Anolis sagrei: one gene and its partner. The protein of the gene in region 2 binds, or shares a complex with, the protein of the main gene of each other region. Links are inferred from orthologs where the notes say so. Each region holds a gene or a part of one and is shown on either strand. Other genes may lie near its edges.

The links.
Region 1: DAB2IP (region 2) and DCP1A share a complex: the UniProt entries of both Homo sapiens proteins name them as parts of the cytoplasmic complex. The link is inferred for Anolis sagrei from reciprocal best matches to the Homo sapiens genes DAB2IP and DCP1A.

The regions. Positions count from the first base shown.
Region 1 is NC_090022.1:60,978,810-60,986,814, reverse strand, and holds the start of DCP1A (mRNA-decapping enzyme 1A), read right to left. Parts: upstream 3,287-8,005; 5' UTR 3,240-3,286; coding exon 3,105-3,239; intron 1-3,104. UniProt on the Homo sapiens protein: Necessary for the degradation of mRNAs, both in normal mRNA turnover and in nonsense-mediated mRNA decay. Removes the 7-methyl guanine cap structure from mRNA molecules, yielding a 5'-phosphorylated mRNA fragment and 7m-GDP.
Region 2 is NC_090031.1:2,167,982-2,175,657, forward strand, and holds the start of DAB2IP (disabled homolog 2-interacting protein), read right to left. Parts: upstream 3,252-7,676; 5' UTR 2,994-3,251; coding exon 2,873-2,993; intron 1-2,872. UniProt on the Homo sapiens protein: Functions as a scaffold protein implicated in the regulation of a large spectrum of both general and specialized signaling pathways.

The sequences.
Region 1 (8,005 bases), on a different chromosome or scaffold from region 2:
TTCTCTTTTATGCATCTATTTTCTTTATTCCTGAATTAATATTGCTTGTTTAGGCCAGCAATGTGAACATTAGACAGGAATACAACATTTTTGTCTTCTTGTAGCGCATAAGCAGCATGCAAATAAATGTTGGGGGAAGTATCAGGACTAGTGCAGGTTATGGTGTTTTATCCATGACCACTAGAAATGATGGGACACCACCTTCTGAGTTGGTCCTAACATGATGAACAGAAAGAAGAGATAGCTGTATCCTAAGGATGTAAAAAGTCTATGAAATCTACCTGGAAACACTAATAATCTTCTGCTTGACTATTACATTGCTTCTTGTTTTTCTCTGTACTTTAGAGCAAACATTTTTGCATGCAGAGGTTATAGCACACTATTAAATCTTCCTTTGTAACGAAAGGTATCCAAAGAGCAGGAGATAGTATTTGTTTCTTTTGTGGGGAGTTGTAACACATAGCATCACACTTCTATGGGGGGTCCTGGAACCAAACCTAAACAGATACTTCTGTTGGGGTCCTAGAACCAAACCTAAGCTCTCTTGCACTCCTTCTAAAACTGTGGTCTCTTCTTGGTTCAATGTTGGGTGCAACAAAAAAAATTGCAACAGTAAAAGGTTTCTGAACACTATCTATTTACACAAATCAGTTAGGAACAACATGAAGTGTTTACTTCCCAGAAAACACTCCAGAAAACAAATCAGCCTATTTAGCAAGTCTTGCAAATGTTGATTTATTACCAGTAAATGTGTGATTTTTATACCTATTTAATGTACCTATATACCCAGGATCATGTAAAAATTTCTCAAGTGGAAAAGGGTTGCAGGAAGAAAAAGTATAAGAAGCCCTGATCTACTGTACACCTATTGGATCTCAGGGGAAAGATAATAATAATGATGATAATAATATTTTTATTTGATAGCCACCTCTCCTCATGGCTGAAAGCAGGTACAACACAGCTAAAACACACTACTATAAAATACATACATCGTCTGGATTACTGTAATGCACTCTACGTGGGGCTGCCTCTGAAGAGGGCTCAGAAACTTCATCTGGTCCACAGAGCTGCAGACATGTTGTTCACTGGGGCTAGCTACAGGAAGCAGACAATCCTATTGTTTAAACAGCTCCACTGGCTGCCAGTCTGTTACCAGATAGAATTCGAAGTGCTGGTTATGACCTTTAAAGTCTTAGACATGTGATTCCCAACCTGTGGCCTGTGGACCACCAGTGGTCTGAAAGAACTAAACTATGGTTCACAGCCTCACTGTTACTACACCATTGCAACAAGAGTGACTGGTCTTGGAAAACTCTCTTATAGTGCTGAGGCTTATTAAATATGGTTTTCTGTGGGTGAGCAGATGGTGACTACTGGATGGCATATGTTCTGTATCAGAAACTAGAGTTGATGTGATCCATCCAATGCAATTTTCTGAATAAGCATCCCAAATAACCAAACCAGATGTAATATTGACCAAAAACGGATTCATAACCCTTCTGGTACTAATGTTGGTGCATGGTCGCTGGTCGAAAAAAAAAAAGGTGTGGAACGACTGCCCTAGACAGTTCAAGTCCAGGCTATTTGGTCAACCACATCCACTTGTATGAGCCTACCCGGGCGAAGTCCTTCTCTTGGTCCTACCGCCATCTCAAGTTAAGTTATTGGGAATGAGAGAGTGGGCCTTCCTTCTCGGTAGCTGCCCTGCGACTCTGAAACTCCCTGCCCAGGGAAGCAAGAATGGCCCCCTCCTGCTACCCTTCAGGTGGCATGCTAAAACCTTTTTATTCAGGCAGGCATTTAAAGAAGAAGGTTTTAAAGATTATCAGGGACCACTGTGATTTTATATGTTTTAAATGATGTTTAATCCTGTTTTAATACGTGTATATTTTAACGCTTTTAGTTGTGAGCCACTTTGAGTCTCCGTATGGAGAGAAAAAAGCAGGATATAAATAAACAGACTTTTAAAGATGAAGGTGTCCAAGAACTAGTCAGGGGGTTCTGTGCTTTTGAACTGTTTTGATGGATTTTAACTGCGATTTTTTTCAAATGCTGCTGATGTTTAATTCTATTGAATGCTTGCAATCTTGTTTATTTTAAATGGTATATTAATGTTTTTAGGTCAAGCTGCCTTGAGTCCCCTTTGGGGAGATAAAGTGGGGTATAAATAAATATATTGCAGGTTCAAATCTGGAGAGCGGCGTGAGCACCTTGCTGTTCGCCCCAGCTTCCACCAACCTAACAGTTTGAAAACATGTGAATGTGAGAAGATAAATAAGTACTGCTCCAGTGGTAAGGTAGTGGCGCATCTTCCAGTCATGCCAGCCACATGACCTTGGAAGTGTCTACGAACAACGGTGGTTGTTTGGCTTAGAAATGGAGATGTGTTGGACATGACTGGACTTAATGTCAGGGGAAAACCTTTAACCTAAATAAATATAAATCAAACTACAAGAAAGGAGATTCCACCTGAACATTGGGATGAACTTCCTGACTGTGAGAGCTGTTCAGGGGGGGACCTCTCTGCCCCGGAGTGTGGTGGAGGCTCCTTCTATGGAGGCCTTTAAACAGAGGCTGGATGGCCATCTGTCGGGGGTGCTTTGAACGCAATTGTCCTGCTTCTTGTCAGGGGGCTGGATTGGATGGCCCACGAAGTCTCTTCCAACTCTATGATTCAATAATAATAATACCCTAAAATATTTACATTGAAAAACACGGCCACAAAATATCTGTATTACAATTCACGGTGCAAGAGTGATAAACATACAATAGAAATAGAAGGTGAATATAAAACTCACAAGACAAGGAGCAAACAGGAGCTACTAGCGCAGGCCTGGGCCAACTTGGGCCTTCTAGGTGTTTTGGACTCCAACTCCCACCATTCCTAACAGCCTCAGGCCCTTTCCTTTTCCCCCTCAGCCGCTTATGGTGGGAGTTGGAGTCCAAAACACTTGGAAGGCCCAAGTTGGCCCAGGCCTGCGCTAAGAGCAGCAGCAGCAGCTTCTGTGGGAACTCCGAAAGGTGGGCGTGTTTCTGCGAATGGCCGCCAAAGGGGCCGGGGCCCTTCTCCTTCCCTCCCAGCGAGCGGGGCCCCGTGGACTCACCCACTCGTTGTCCTTGGGGCTGAAGCGGTAGAGGGCCACCTGGCCGGTCACGTCGGCGATGCTGGTGATGTAGGGGTCGTGCTGCTTTAAGGCCGCCAGGCTCATCTCCTGCCCCGCTTGACTCAGAGACGCCATCTTGGATCCGGGACCTCGGCCGCGGCGGGGAAGGGAAGGAGGGGAGGCCCAGGGAGCGTCACCCGCACTGGTCCGTCCCTCTCTAGCCGCCGGTCGGAAACCGCCTTCGCCCGGCTTTGCGTTCCACTCTGCTGCGCCTCTCTAACCCGTCCTTGGTGTTTCTCTCAACTGAACTAATTCCAGAAGGGAATGGGCAACGCCGGGAAAGAAACCCAAATGAATGTATTTCCGCAGCTCTGACTGCTATTTAACGATTGCCGCGACGGAAACTGTTTCACCTAGAAATACATTTCCGGCTCTTCAGTGTTTGGGGTGGCACGTGATGGAGTTTTCTGTAAAAATTGGGACCCAATGAGGTTTAATGTCAAAGAGGTTTCTGGAGTTGTGGGTCATATATGCCCAGGTATGATTGCACACACACACATACACATAAAGGAGGTTTAATTTTAACGTTTTTGGGGTTGTGTGTCATATGTGCATGTATGTTTGCACATTGTGGGATTAACATAATCCCACAAACTCTGCTGGTACAGCTGTACCAGGAGCTCCAATTTTGTTTGCTTTGCACTGAATGTTTGCTGTAGTCCTAAGTTTCAGGGACTCTGCAGATAGGTGGCTTCTTTTGGCTGCAATCATAGGGCAAGCCACCTGTCAATTATAGTTAGGTTCCCTGGTCCCGCCCCCTTTTGGGTTTTTGGGAGGGAATAGGAGCCAGTTTTGGGTCAGTCCACACAGAGAAGCCTTCCATGTAGGACATAATACCAAGAGCTCCTGTAGAAAGCTTCGTCTTCTACGGCTTGGCCGGGGAGATATACAGCTCACAGCTTGGCCGGGGTTATACAGCCCTACAGTTCCTTTGCTGAAGGACTTCAGTTAGCCATCACGGAAACCTGAGTTCTTTTCCCCTGGAAGTCTACAAAGCTCTGCTTGGTAAGGGTCACTTGCGGAAGCCAGAAGCAGTTGGTACCGGGTGCAGGGGCTCCACGCCAACAGAGGCAAAGATAGACTGCCCAGATTAGAAGTTAAGGATTTCCCCATTAGTTACAGTTATGAATATAGTGCCTGTTCCCTGTGGACAAGATTGAGAGAGAGCCAATAGACTGTTAAGAAAGCCTTAAAGTACCTGTTTGTTTTCATTAATAAAGAACTTGGTTGAACCTTTAAGCAATCTAAAGACTCTGTTTTAAGAAAATCCAAAGGCCTTTAATCTGAGGCAGCCCCGGCATCCCGTTGGGCACACAGAATTTATGTCCTGTCTACAGTCTGATGCACAGGCCCAGGCGACAGCACACAAACCACTGGGTGAATTGACACCAGATTTGGACACAATACACCTATTATTATTATTATTATTATTATTATTATTACGGTTGCTTATACCCCGCCCTTCTCACCCGGGGGGACTCAGGGCGGCTTACACAAACAAGGCACAATTCGATGCCTGTATTACAAAAACATAACATCAGGCCAACGAGTGACCATCACTCATAAAAACACTGAAAAACACAGCAGAAGAGACTTCAAAAGCAAAAAAAAAGCCTCCACAAAAAATATATTACAACGCACGCGCAAAACCACATATATACCCAAACACACATATACACACAGTCCCCGAAGGGGGACTCAGGATGGCTTACATTGGCAACAATTCGATGCCATAAATACAAACAAACAACAATATAGCAATAGTTTAAAACAATAAATAAATCATTTGGTTAAAAGCAGTTAAAACATTTGTCAACACCATGAAGTCAGTCAGTTTCTTCTCCCTTCACCCCAACCCTTACTTATTTGTATGTACTGCATTTGCAATATAGGTTGCTGTATGAACTGCATCTGCAGCTTCTCCAGGACCCTGGAGACCAAATGACACTGTTTTTGTGACCTTGGAGGTGATATTCTCATCACTGGCGGCAGAGTTTTCCAAAATGTTGAGGAACAATGAGAAATAAATCTAAGCCTTCTTGAGCTTCATGTGGTCAAAGCTGCCGAATTCCTGCCTCTGATAGAGTATTTTCTTCTTCAGTTCTCTAATATGAATTTTGAATTTGAGTAGAGTGTATGTTCTTAAATGGGTTACCCCATGCCTCCCCACCCCGATTCTGTATCATTAGCTGATATTCTTATATGGTGGGTACCTTTTCCAGTAATCTCTTATGGAAAGAAATATGAATGACTGGGCGGGCACAGACTATACTAAATATATGGTGATGGAGTGGTGCCCAGTGCAGTGCTCTTAATAAGGCACTGGGGAACCACTTCACAAAAAAGCACTCTTTGGATAGAGAGAGTTATCACTTAATTAAACAGTAATGTTTGCTTGGGAGGTATCCAAAGCAGTTGACAGATGAGATCCAAAACCTTACCGTGGACTTTTTGTCTCATTTGATAACATACCAAATTTCATGACATTGGGATAAAATACTTAATTTCTATGTATGTAGTATAAAAGATGGATAAACATTGTGTGTATTGAGTCCAAATGTTTCCTTTTTTTCCCTGGAAACTTGGCAGACACCAGCAACCAATGGCTCTGGGACCACCTTTGGTCCTGGCACTGCCACTCTGAAGTAGAACTGGTTTAGAGCATTGTTTCTTAAACCCTGGGTCCTAATCCCAAATATATGGGCTTATTCTAAAGAAACATTACATTATAATATAGACATTGTTTTACAATAAAAATAATATTATAAGCATATATATTATTATATTTTAAATCTGTTTAAGCAACAAAAAATATCCAGCCTAATAACATTTCTAATATACAATATAATGACATTATAATTGCATTATGTAGTATAATGTAATATAAAAGCACATTGCAAGCAGAACTAATTATATTAGTTCAAGAATTTAATGTAAGAATCATTCTGCTTTGTAATACAATACAACTCCTGTATCAGTGAGGAATGTGTTCCTAAAATTTGCAGGGGAAACAGGAAACCATGGATAATAGCTAACCCTATTGAAATAAATAACTTCTTACTAGTATAGAACCTCCCTTGAGGACCTCGAAAATGTCTAAAGAGGTATCCTCTAGGAATTTGCTAGATCGTCCAATACCATTATGTAATTACATCTGGAGGGTCCCTTGGTGGCACAGCGGGTTAAACCGCTGAGCTGCTGAACTTGCTGACTGAAAGGTCAGCAGTTCGAATCCAGAGAGCAAGGTAAGCTCCCATTGTTAGGCCCAGCTTCTGCCAACCTAGCAGTTCGAAAACATGCAAATGCAAGTAGATCAATAGGTATCGCTTCGGCAGCAAGGTAACAGCGCTCCATGTAGTCATGCTGGCCACATGCCTAGGAGGTATCTACAGACAATGCTGGCTTTTCAGAGATGAGCACCGCCCCCTAGAATCAGATACAACTAGACTCAATGTCAAGGGAAACCTTTACCTTAATAACTTCTGGTATAAGCACACCACAGAATTTCTAGAAAGGATATATTTTGTTGGAGGTGGACAAGTCCTGCAGGCATGGGAGCCATGCTTTATTTTAGAAGTTCTTTTTTCACAGATCCGATAGCAATCACACCCTATTTACACTGAACAAAATGTGTGTAATAACTTATGAAACCTGTTTATGATATAGAACAACTGTTTTATGTAGTTATACTAGCCTTTCCCAGCTTGGTAGCCTTTTGAATTGTTGAATTGCATCTCCCATCACCTTTGACCAATGCCTATGCTCTCTGAGGCTTTTGGGAAATTTAAATTAAAGCACTTGGAGAGCACCAGATTGGGGGAGACAGAAGCGTGTTCTTTCTGCTATTTTGTCTTTTAAGTGTAGATACCTCCAGGCCTCTCAGGCAGAACAGGGAGACTAATGCAAATCGATAGGCTGTTTGTTCTTTCTTCCGAAGCTGGTGAAATCCTTTAGGAAATTATATGGAAAAGGAAGCATTAAAGGAACTATGAATAATTGAAACCATGTAATCTAATGAAGTACAAGTATAACAGCATAAAAGAAACATTTACTCTACTGGAGTGTTCCCTATAGTTATGAATTTAACTTTCTTTCACCCATTTAAGGTGAAGCGAATAGATAGGAAATGCTCATTGTAAAAAAAAAGAAAGAAAGAAAGAAAGAAAAGGCTGTAAACCACAGCAGTGATCCTAAAAGGACAGATGCCGTGGATCGCTAATTTTAATCCTTCTGTTCTTCTCACAACAGCAATGGGAAAGGTTGAAATAGGTCAAAAGTAGCCCTCCTTACATTGCTCAAGAACATTCAAAAGATTAATAATTTATGGATTATCTCCTAGAAACAATGATCTGGTGCAGACAGGTAATCCAATATCCTGTATCCTTCTAACATGGGGTGCCATTTCATCAGGGGATTGTGCATGAGTGGCAACTTTTCCGGAAAGGCAGCAGCTGCCTGCCAGCTGGAGACATACAAATTGCAAGAATTTGTTTCATGATTATGACATCTTCCACTGGATGAGGGTAAGTGGTTCAATTGCACAGGTGAAGCTGGGCATTGCGTCATTTACACGTTGGAAGCAGTTTTGATCGTAAATAATATTTTTTCTGAATGCAGCACAAGGTAAAAGAAGACAACTGATGCCAGCAACTGATCCAAGATGCAATTTGCACTCCTGTTTCTTTTTTTCATCCATGTCCAAAAGCTGCTAATTTCTCTGGTGTGTGTCTATTCTTTCATGCAAATCCTTATATGGTGGAAGTTTCTACTACTGCAATGTTTTTATTCTTAAAATCTAAATCAGAAGATAGTAATATTTCTTCCCAATTCAGTTACAAGCT
Region 2 (7,676 bases):
CCAGATTGTGCCAGTTAGCTTTCGTATGATATTGTTTCTAGCACCCACTTTTTGCTTGATGTTCAGGCAATGCTTCTTGTAGGTAAGAGCACGGTCCAGAGTGACTCCCAGGTACTTGGGTGCGCTGCAATGCTCCCGTGGGATTCCTTCCCAGGTAATATTCCTCAGAGCTCGGGATGCTTGTCTGTTCTTAAGGTGAAAGGCACATGCCTGTGTTTTAGATGGATTAGGGATCAGCTGGTTTCTCCTGTAATAGGCAGTAAGAGCACCTAAAGCTTCAGAGAGTTTCTGTTCTAACATCTCAAAGCTCCTTGCTTGAGCAGTGATGGCACGATCATCAGCATAGATGAAACTCCCTGTCCCTTCTGGCAGTGGCTGGTCATTTGTGTAAATGTTGAACATTAACGAAGCGAGCACGCTCCCCTGAGGCAGGCTGTTCTTCTTCAAACCAGAAGTTTGTGGGATTAACATAACTCAAAAACCACCGGACGGACTGAAATCAAATTTAGACACAAGACACCTCTCAAGCCAATGAGTGACCATCACTCATTAAAACACTGGAAAACACAGAAGAAGGGATGCAAAAAGCCAAAAAAATAAAAAATGCATTACAATGCATGTGCATAATCACATATATACACATATACACACACATATATACATGTATATACATACAAAGCACATATACACAGACTGGGCCACAGCAACGTGTGGCAGGGGATGGCTAGTAATTAAAAAAATATTTGAATACTCATTACGAAATCAGAATTTCCAAAATTGGATGGGGTCCGTATCATAACTATAATGAGTTCACTGCTTTTTCGTTACTTTTCGTTAAGTAATTGTGCCAATGAGGACACTTCAAGGGTCCCTTTCTCCTTCATTTTTACAGCTATTGGCATGAAACTTGGTACGGTTATAGAACCCAGTGACCACTGTGTGCCCACCAAGTTTCAGAATGTTTCGCTCCTCCACTGATTTTGGGGGAATTTTCAAAATTTTTACAAACAACATTAACAAAACCCTACAAGAGCACTCTCCTTGAATTTTCTGCACAATGACACAAGATGACAGGAGAGCATTCACTCCCAGTTTCTGAGAGATTCACACATATACTGATTTTTGGGGGATTCAACCATTCATTGGGACTCTGTCAGGAAGGAGGACCTCTTCCTCCTCCTCATTGGGGCTTTCTGATGCTGAGCGGAATTCTGGGAAATGTAGTTCAGGGCAAGGCCTTTTGCATTCTCTGCCATAGGGCTCCTCGCCTTCCCAAACTACAGTTCCCAGGATGCTGTGCTCTCTCTACAATGTAAATAGAAAAAGTCATTACACGCTCAACTGGCTGCATCCCACTTAACATTCCAGCTTCCAGAGAAGTGGCAACAGAACGACCTCCCTCTTGCATAAAACCCTATACGGCACCGGCCCTGCGTACCTGTCCGAATGTATCTCCTTCTACGTCCCGCCTTGGAATTTAAGATCTTCTGGGGGAACCCTGCTCTCGTCACAAATGAGATTGGCTGGGACGAGGGACAGGGCCTTCTCGGTGGTGGCCCCCCGCCTGTGGAATTCACTCCCCAGGGAAATTAGATCATCGTCATCCCTCCTCTCTTTCAGAAGGAAATTAAAAACATGGATATGGGACCAGGCCTTTAGGTAATCTGGCAGACTGACAATGGACAATGACGACTAAAGTTTTGGAACCAGATTATGATAAGCGGAATGAATTTATTAATTATGGACTTGGCAAAACAATGGCCACCAGGCTAGCTTTTTATTGTATTAATGTAATGTTTTAATTGTTATAATTATTGTTATTATGTATTTTATTGTTTCAGCAGTGACCAGGGGAGCATTTGCACAATTAAAACTTGTGCGCCAGCTGCGCCCAGACCTTGGGAAGTCTGACTTGGTCACGGTAGTCCACGCTCTAGTGACATCCCGTATAGACTACTGCGCGCTTGTGAAGCTGGTGGGACCGAGAGCAGGGCCTCCCCAGACGATCTTAATGTCCTAACTGGTTCATAGGCGGAGACGCGTTCGGACAGGTAGGTCGGGCCAGAACCGTTTACGGCTTTAAAGACTAAAGCCAGCACTTTGAATTGTGCCCGGTAGCAAATTGGCAGCCAGTGGAGCTGGCGCAGCAGCGGAGTTGTATGCTCCTTGAGTGGCGCTCCTGTTAGCAACCTGGCAATTGTGGGAGTTGAAGTGCTGGACCATTTGAAGCTTCCGAGCAGTCTTCAAAGGCAACCCCACGTAGAGAGCGTTGCAGTAGTCTATGCGGGATGTAACCAGAGCGTGGACTACCGTGGCCAAGTCAGACTTCCCAAGGTACGGGTGCAGCTGGCGCACAAGTTTTAACTGTGTGAATGCTCCCCTGGTCACCACCGAAACCTCGGGTTCCAGGCTCAGTGACGAGTCCAAGATCACACCTGAGCTGCGAACCTGCGTCTTCAGGAGGAGTGTGACCCCATCCGGTGCTATACCAAATCTGATGGAACTGGACCTCTTCGAATTTGCCCGGCACACTTAAGAACAAGCTCATTGCTTGGAGGCTCCCTAACACCAAATCTGGACCGGATATGAGACTGGGCAGGAAAGACATCTCGGACAACGTGTGGCTCAGCCATCTACCTGGCATGCCTCTTAATCCAATAGTTTTGGTCCAACTCTAACAATAATAACACACGACACTCCATTCTGTGCAGCCCGAAAGACGGTATCCTTCCTCCATCACCAGAATGTGCATCCCATACAAGTCTCCTCCATACCTGTCCCACACCTGCCATTGGCCCCGAACTCTACCTGCCTTCTAGGTGCTGAGCAACAGATGCCAGAGGTGCATGCAAGAACAAAGAAAGTGCGTTACCCCTGCTGAGTGGCCGGTTGCGGCTGCGGGACCGGCTCCGTTGCCGGTGAAGCCTGGACCTCCGCAGCAGCCGGTAGTAGTAGGAGGGCCTGCCGGAGCTTCTCCTACCATTCACCGACATCTCTTTTGGGGGACGGTGGTGGGGGTCCTCCCAGAACCCTTCCACTTTCTCCACTTACAGACAAGGAAGAAATAAAGGATGGGAAGAGGAGGAGGAGGAGAGGAAATAAATAAAGATCACAGAGCTGGGAGTCCCAGCCTGCAAGGCATGTGCCGGTCCAGAAATAAAAGCCGGGGACTTCTCCTCCGGCTCCAGGGCCAACATTCTCAGCAGGCCAGATAAACATAGCCCAGAGTTCTTTCCTGCCCCCTCCCCTCCCCACACTTTCAAGATAGGAGCTGCAAAGAGGAAACAGGACTTGGAAAGGGAACAAGTTGAGGCGGGAGGAAGTCCTGGACTGGATTGCCACTGCTTTGTGAGGCCAAGGCAATAGCACACACGGGAACAGGTCTGGCTGGGGTTGTGGGTCCCTACAGGGAGAAAGGCCGGGCATCAATAAAGGTTGCACTATGTAGTAAAATTTGAAAAAAAATGTTCTCTTTGTGGTTTGAAAGTGTAATTTCCTTGTTAATTGTGCGGTTCTTACTTTGCACCAAGAATTGGGAAGCCCTGGCCCTTGAGCACTGTAACTGGGGGTCAGCTGTGACCAGCAGTGCTGCAGAATTAAAAGAGGAATGATTGGAGAGTGAAAGGGAGAAATGTGGAATGGTGAGGGTTGAGGTCCAAAACACCTGGAGGGAAGACTGAAGTTGACCCGTGCCTTTGTCCCCTGGGAATTGAACGCTTCAGTCAAGCAAGGGATCATCTGCATACCCACGTTGTGGGAGTTGGAGTCCAAAACACCTGGCCCAAGTTGGCCCATGCCTTTGTCCTCTTGGAACTGGACACTCCAGTAAATTAAGGGATCATCTGCATACCCACGTTGTGGGAGCTGGAGTCCAACACACCTGGAGAGAGGGACCAAGTTGGCCCAGGCCTTGGTCCTCTTGAAACTGGACACTTCAGTCAATCAAGGGATCATCTGCATACCCACATTGTGGGAGTTGGAGTCCAAAACACCTGGAGGGAGGGCCCAAGTTGACCCATACCTTTGTCCTCTTGGAACTGGACACTTCAGTCCATCAAGGGATCATCTGCATACCCACGTTGTGGGAGTTAGAGTCCAAAACACATTAAGGGAAGGCCAAGTTGGCCCATGCCTTTGTCCTCTTGGAACTGAACACTATGGTCATTCAAGGGATCATCTGCATACCCAGGTTGTGGGATCTGAAGTCCAAAACACTTGGACTTCAAGTTGGCCCATACCCTGGCTAGAGGCAAGTGGGCCAGGTTTACTCCCCTTAATGATGGATCCCTCAATAAGTGAGAAATGGTAGTGCCTCCCATCTTGGAGATATTTCTGGGAATTGTAGCCCCAAAAGTAAAACATTCCAAGTCCTGCATCTTTTCCATTTTCATGGGCCCTGGACAGGTGGGAAAAACAACATTTCCTTAAGTTTTAGTTCTCAAGTATCTGCTATGCCCAAGTACACTGCCCCTGCATATGGAGGCTCTCTCTGTTGGCATATGAACAAAAAGGAGCTCCATTCAGCTCAGCCTTCTCTTGCTTCTGCAGTTGGTCTAACCCATTCACAGCTTGGGCTGACATGTGAACCTTGCACATTGAGATTCCCTTCTATCCTTCCACCACATGGTGAAATTTGCAAATGCTCACCCACTAGCATCAAAAAACGAATTGAGACTGAATTTTCTCCCATGCACCAAAGACACGCGGAGCAAAGGTTCACCAGAAAGCAATAAATATTCCTGGAAAGTCCATGCCAGATTTTGCAGCGTTCCTCCCCCAAAACCCACAAGTAACTTTCTGAAGGCCAGGAATGGCCAATCAACGCACCAAGTTCAGGTCAAAGGAGCAAAGGCACAGCTGGGCGACAGATGACTCCGAGAGGCACAGACAAGGAGGAGGAGGAACTCTTTCTTTCTCTTACTTGTACCTATTCCTCCTTTGGGAAAAACTGCAATCTGCCCTGGGCATGCCAGACCCTTGCAAGTATTTGCATTTGCCCTCCCCCCCAAAATATACTGGGCGTCCTGCAACACCAAATGGACTGACATTCTGCAAATGGAAATTGGGGCATGTGAGATCAAATATACCTGGTTGTGGTCAATGTGGCAAAGCACAACTAGGAAAGACAGCAGCTGTTTGCTTTTGCCTGAACCACCAGGGAAGTGCCCATTGAAATCATTGGGTCTATACCAGGCCTGGGCAAACTTGGGCCCTCCAGGTGTTTTGGACTTCAACTCCAACAATTCCTAACAGCCAGTAGGCTGCTAGGAATTGTGGGAGTTGAAGTCCAAAACACCTGGAGGGCCGGTAGGCTGTTAGGAATTGTGGGAGTTGAAGTCCAAAACACCTGGAGGGCCCAAGTTTGCCCAGGCCTGGTGCATATAGCACTTTTGCATCTTCAATTCTGTTTGCAGCCACAAAGGAAAGCTGAGGACAAAGGAGGAAAATGGAAGGAGGCGAGAGAAACTGGGACGTTTGAAAAACAGCTGTAAAGTGGGACGGTACAGGACTAATAATAATAATATTAATAATAAACCTTTATTTATGCCCCACTACCATCTCCCGAAGGACTCGGTGAGGCTTACAAGATGCCAAGCCGAAATACATCAGTAAAAACAGCAACAACAGCAATACAGATAATGCATAAACTCATAAACAAAGCAATAAACAGTAACAATAACACCACGGCGCATTAAAAACCTATGGCAGGGCCAAATGTAATAATTAAAATTATAAAAAATGCTGGGCATGACAAGGTGACATATAACTAGGATGGGTATTTGGAGAGAGATGGAGCGAGCAGAATAAGGATTGCCACTGCCACGTTACAGAAGTTGGAGAGGCGGGAATGGTACTATTGAGATTGGAAATCATGCTGATTTTTATTTTTCAATAATAATAATAATAATAATAATAAAAATTTCTTTATATTCTGCTCTATCTCCCCAGAGGGACACAGGATGGATTCTTGTAAAGAAGACCGTTTTAATCCCACCGAATGCCACCAAATGTGAAGGTGCGAGTGGTAAAACACCCACTAATCTATGAGGGAAGCCGGGCAACGATCAATATCAGCCTAGGAACTATTTTATAAAGGGACTGTTAATGACAGAAGGTCTTATTCAGTGGATAGCGTAGCGTTTACTGTTTCTGGCTGACTTTACTATTGCAGGCTGTTCAACTTAGGAGAAACTGTATCAGGCAAGGCTTCAGGAAAACAGTAACAAGTTTATTTTAACAGGAGTATAACATATTTAACTGTTTCTTCTCAAGAGGCACAAATCTTGATGGTTACATTGGAAAGGTTTCATGAGTAATCTCAGGCACAGACTTCAAAACGTTTCACCACAGGAACAGCAGGCTTAAACCCAGCCAAACCTTGATTCTTAATTCAGAATCAACAACCCCCTGTAGCTCTCTCACTACCGGGTCCTTCTCTGCAACCACTTTGGTCACCAATTGATTCCCTGAATCTCCACCCTGAGATCCAGTCTTTCCTATAGCACACCGGCTACAGACACATTCCCTGAATCTCCACCCAGAGACTCAGTCCTCTCAGTAGCTCTCCGGCCACTGGCTGACTTTTTAAAATAGCTGCCTCCTCAAGAGGCAGTTGGCTCCGCCCCTGTTGCTATGGCAACTCAGCTAACGCCAAGCCACCATCTCCAACAAAACATAATCTCCCATACTTACCATCCCTAAACCACTATCCAAACTACCCATAACCAAAGCAATAAAACTTACACATCGTCACAATTCTAAACATAAAAGGCAAACTTTCAATGCCTGAATACAACAACAATACATCCATGTGAACAAAATGTATACAACCCAAAAGACATCGAATTCCATGTGCGTCTCAGCATTTTGAGCTGGACATTATTTTCGGCGGTGACCAGGTTTCGGCGGTGACCAGGGGAGCATTTGCACAGCTAAAGCTTGTGCGCCAGCTGCGCCCATACCTTGGGAAGTCTGACTTGGCCACGGTAGTCCACGCTCTGGTTACATCCCGTTTAGACTACTGCAACGCTCTCTACGTGGGGTTGCCTTTGAAGACAGCTCGGAAGCTCCAACTAGTCCAACGCTCGGCAGCCATGATTTTAACAGGAGCGGAGCGCAGGGAGCATACAACCCCCCTGTTGCGCCAACTCCACTGGCTACCGATCTGCTACCGGGCTGAATTCAAAGTGCTGGCGTTGGCCTTTAAAGCCCTAAACGGTTCCGGCCCAAGTTACCTATCTGACCGCATTTCTGCCTATGAACCCACCAGGAGTTTGAGATCTTCCGGGGAGACCCTGCTCTCGATCCCGCCTGCTTCTCAAGCTCGGCTGGCGGGGACGAGAGATAGGGCCTTCTCGGTGGTGGCTCCTCGGCTGTGGAACGCCCTTCCTACGGACATTAGACTAGCACCATCTCTAATGGTATTCCGCAAAAAGGTGAAGACCTGGATGTTTGTGCAGGCGTTTGAGTAATTTAGTGCAATCTGGTAATGGAACATAGGAATGGAACAATGGACGGCGAACCTGGACTACGCTTGGATGAGGAGAAGATTGGGGACGGTTGTTGTTTTTTGTAATAATTGTGCATTGTAATGGCTTATTGGTAATTTATGGATAATGTGTTAAGTCAATTGTTCTATGTTGTATGGAACCACTGCTGTTTCTACTGTTTTTACT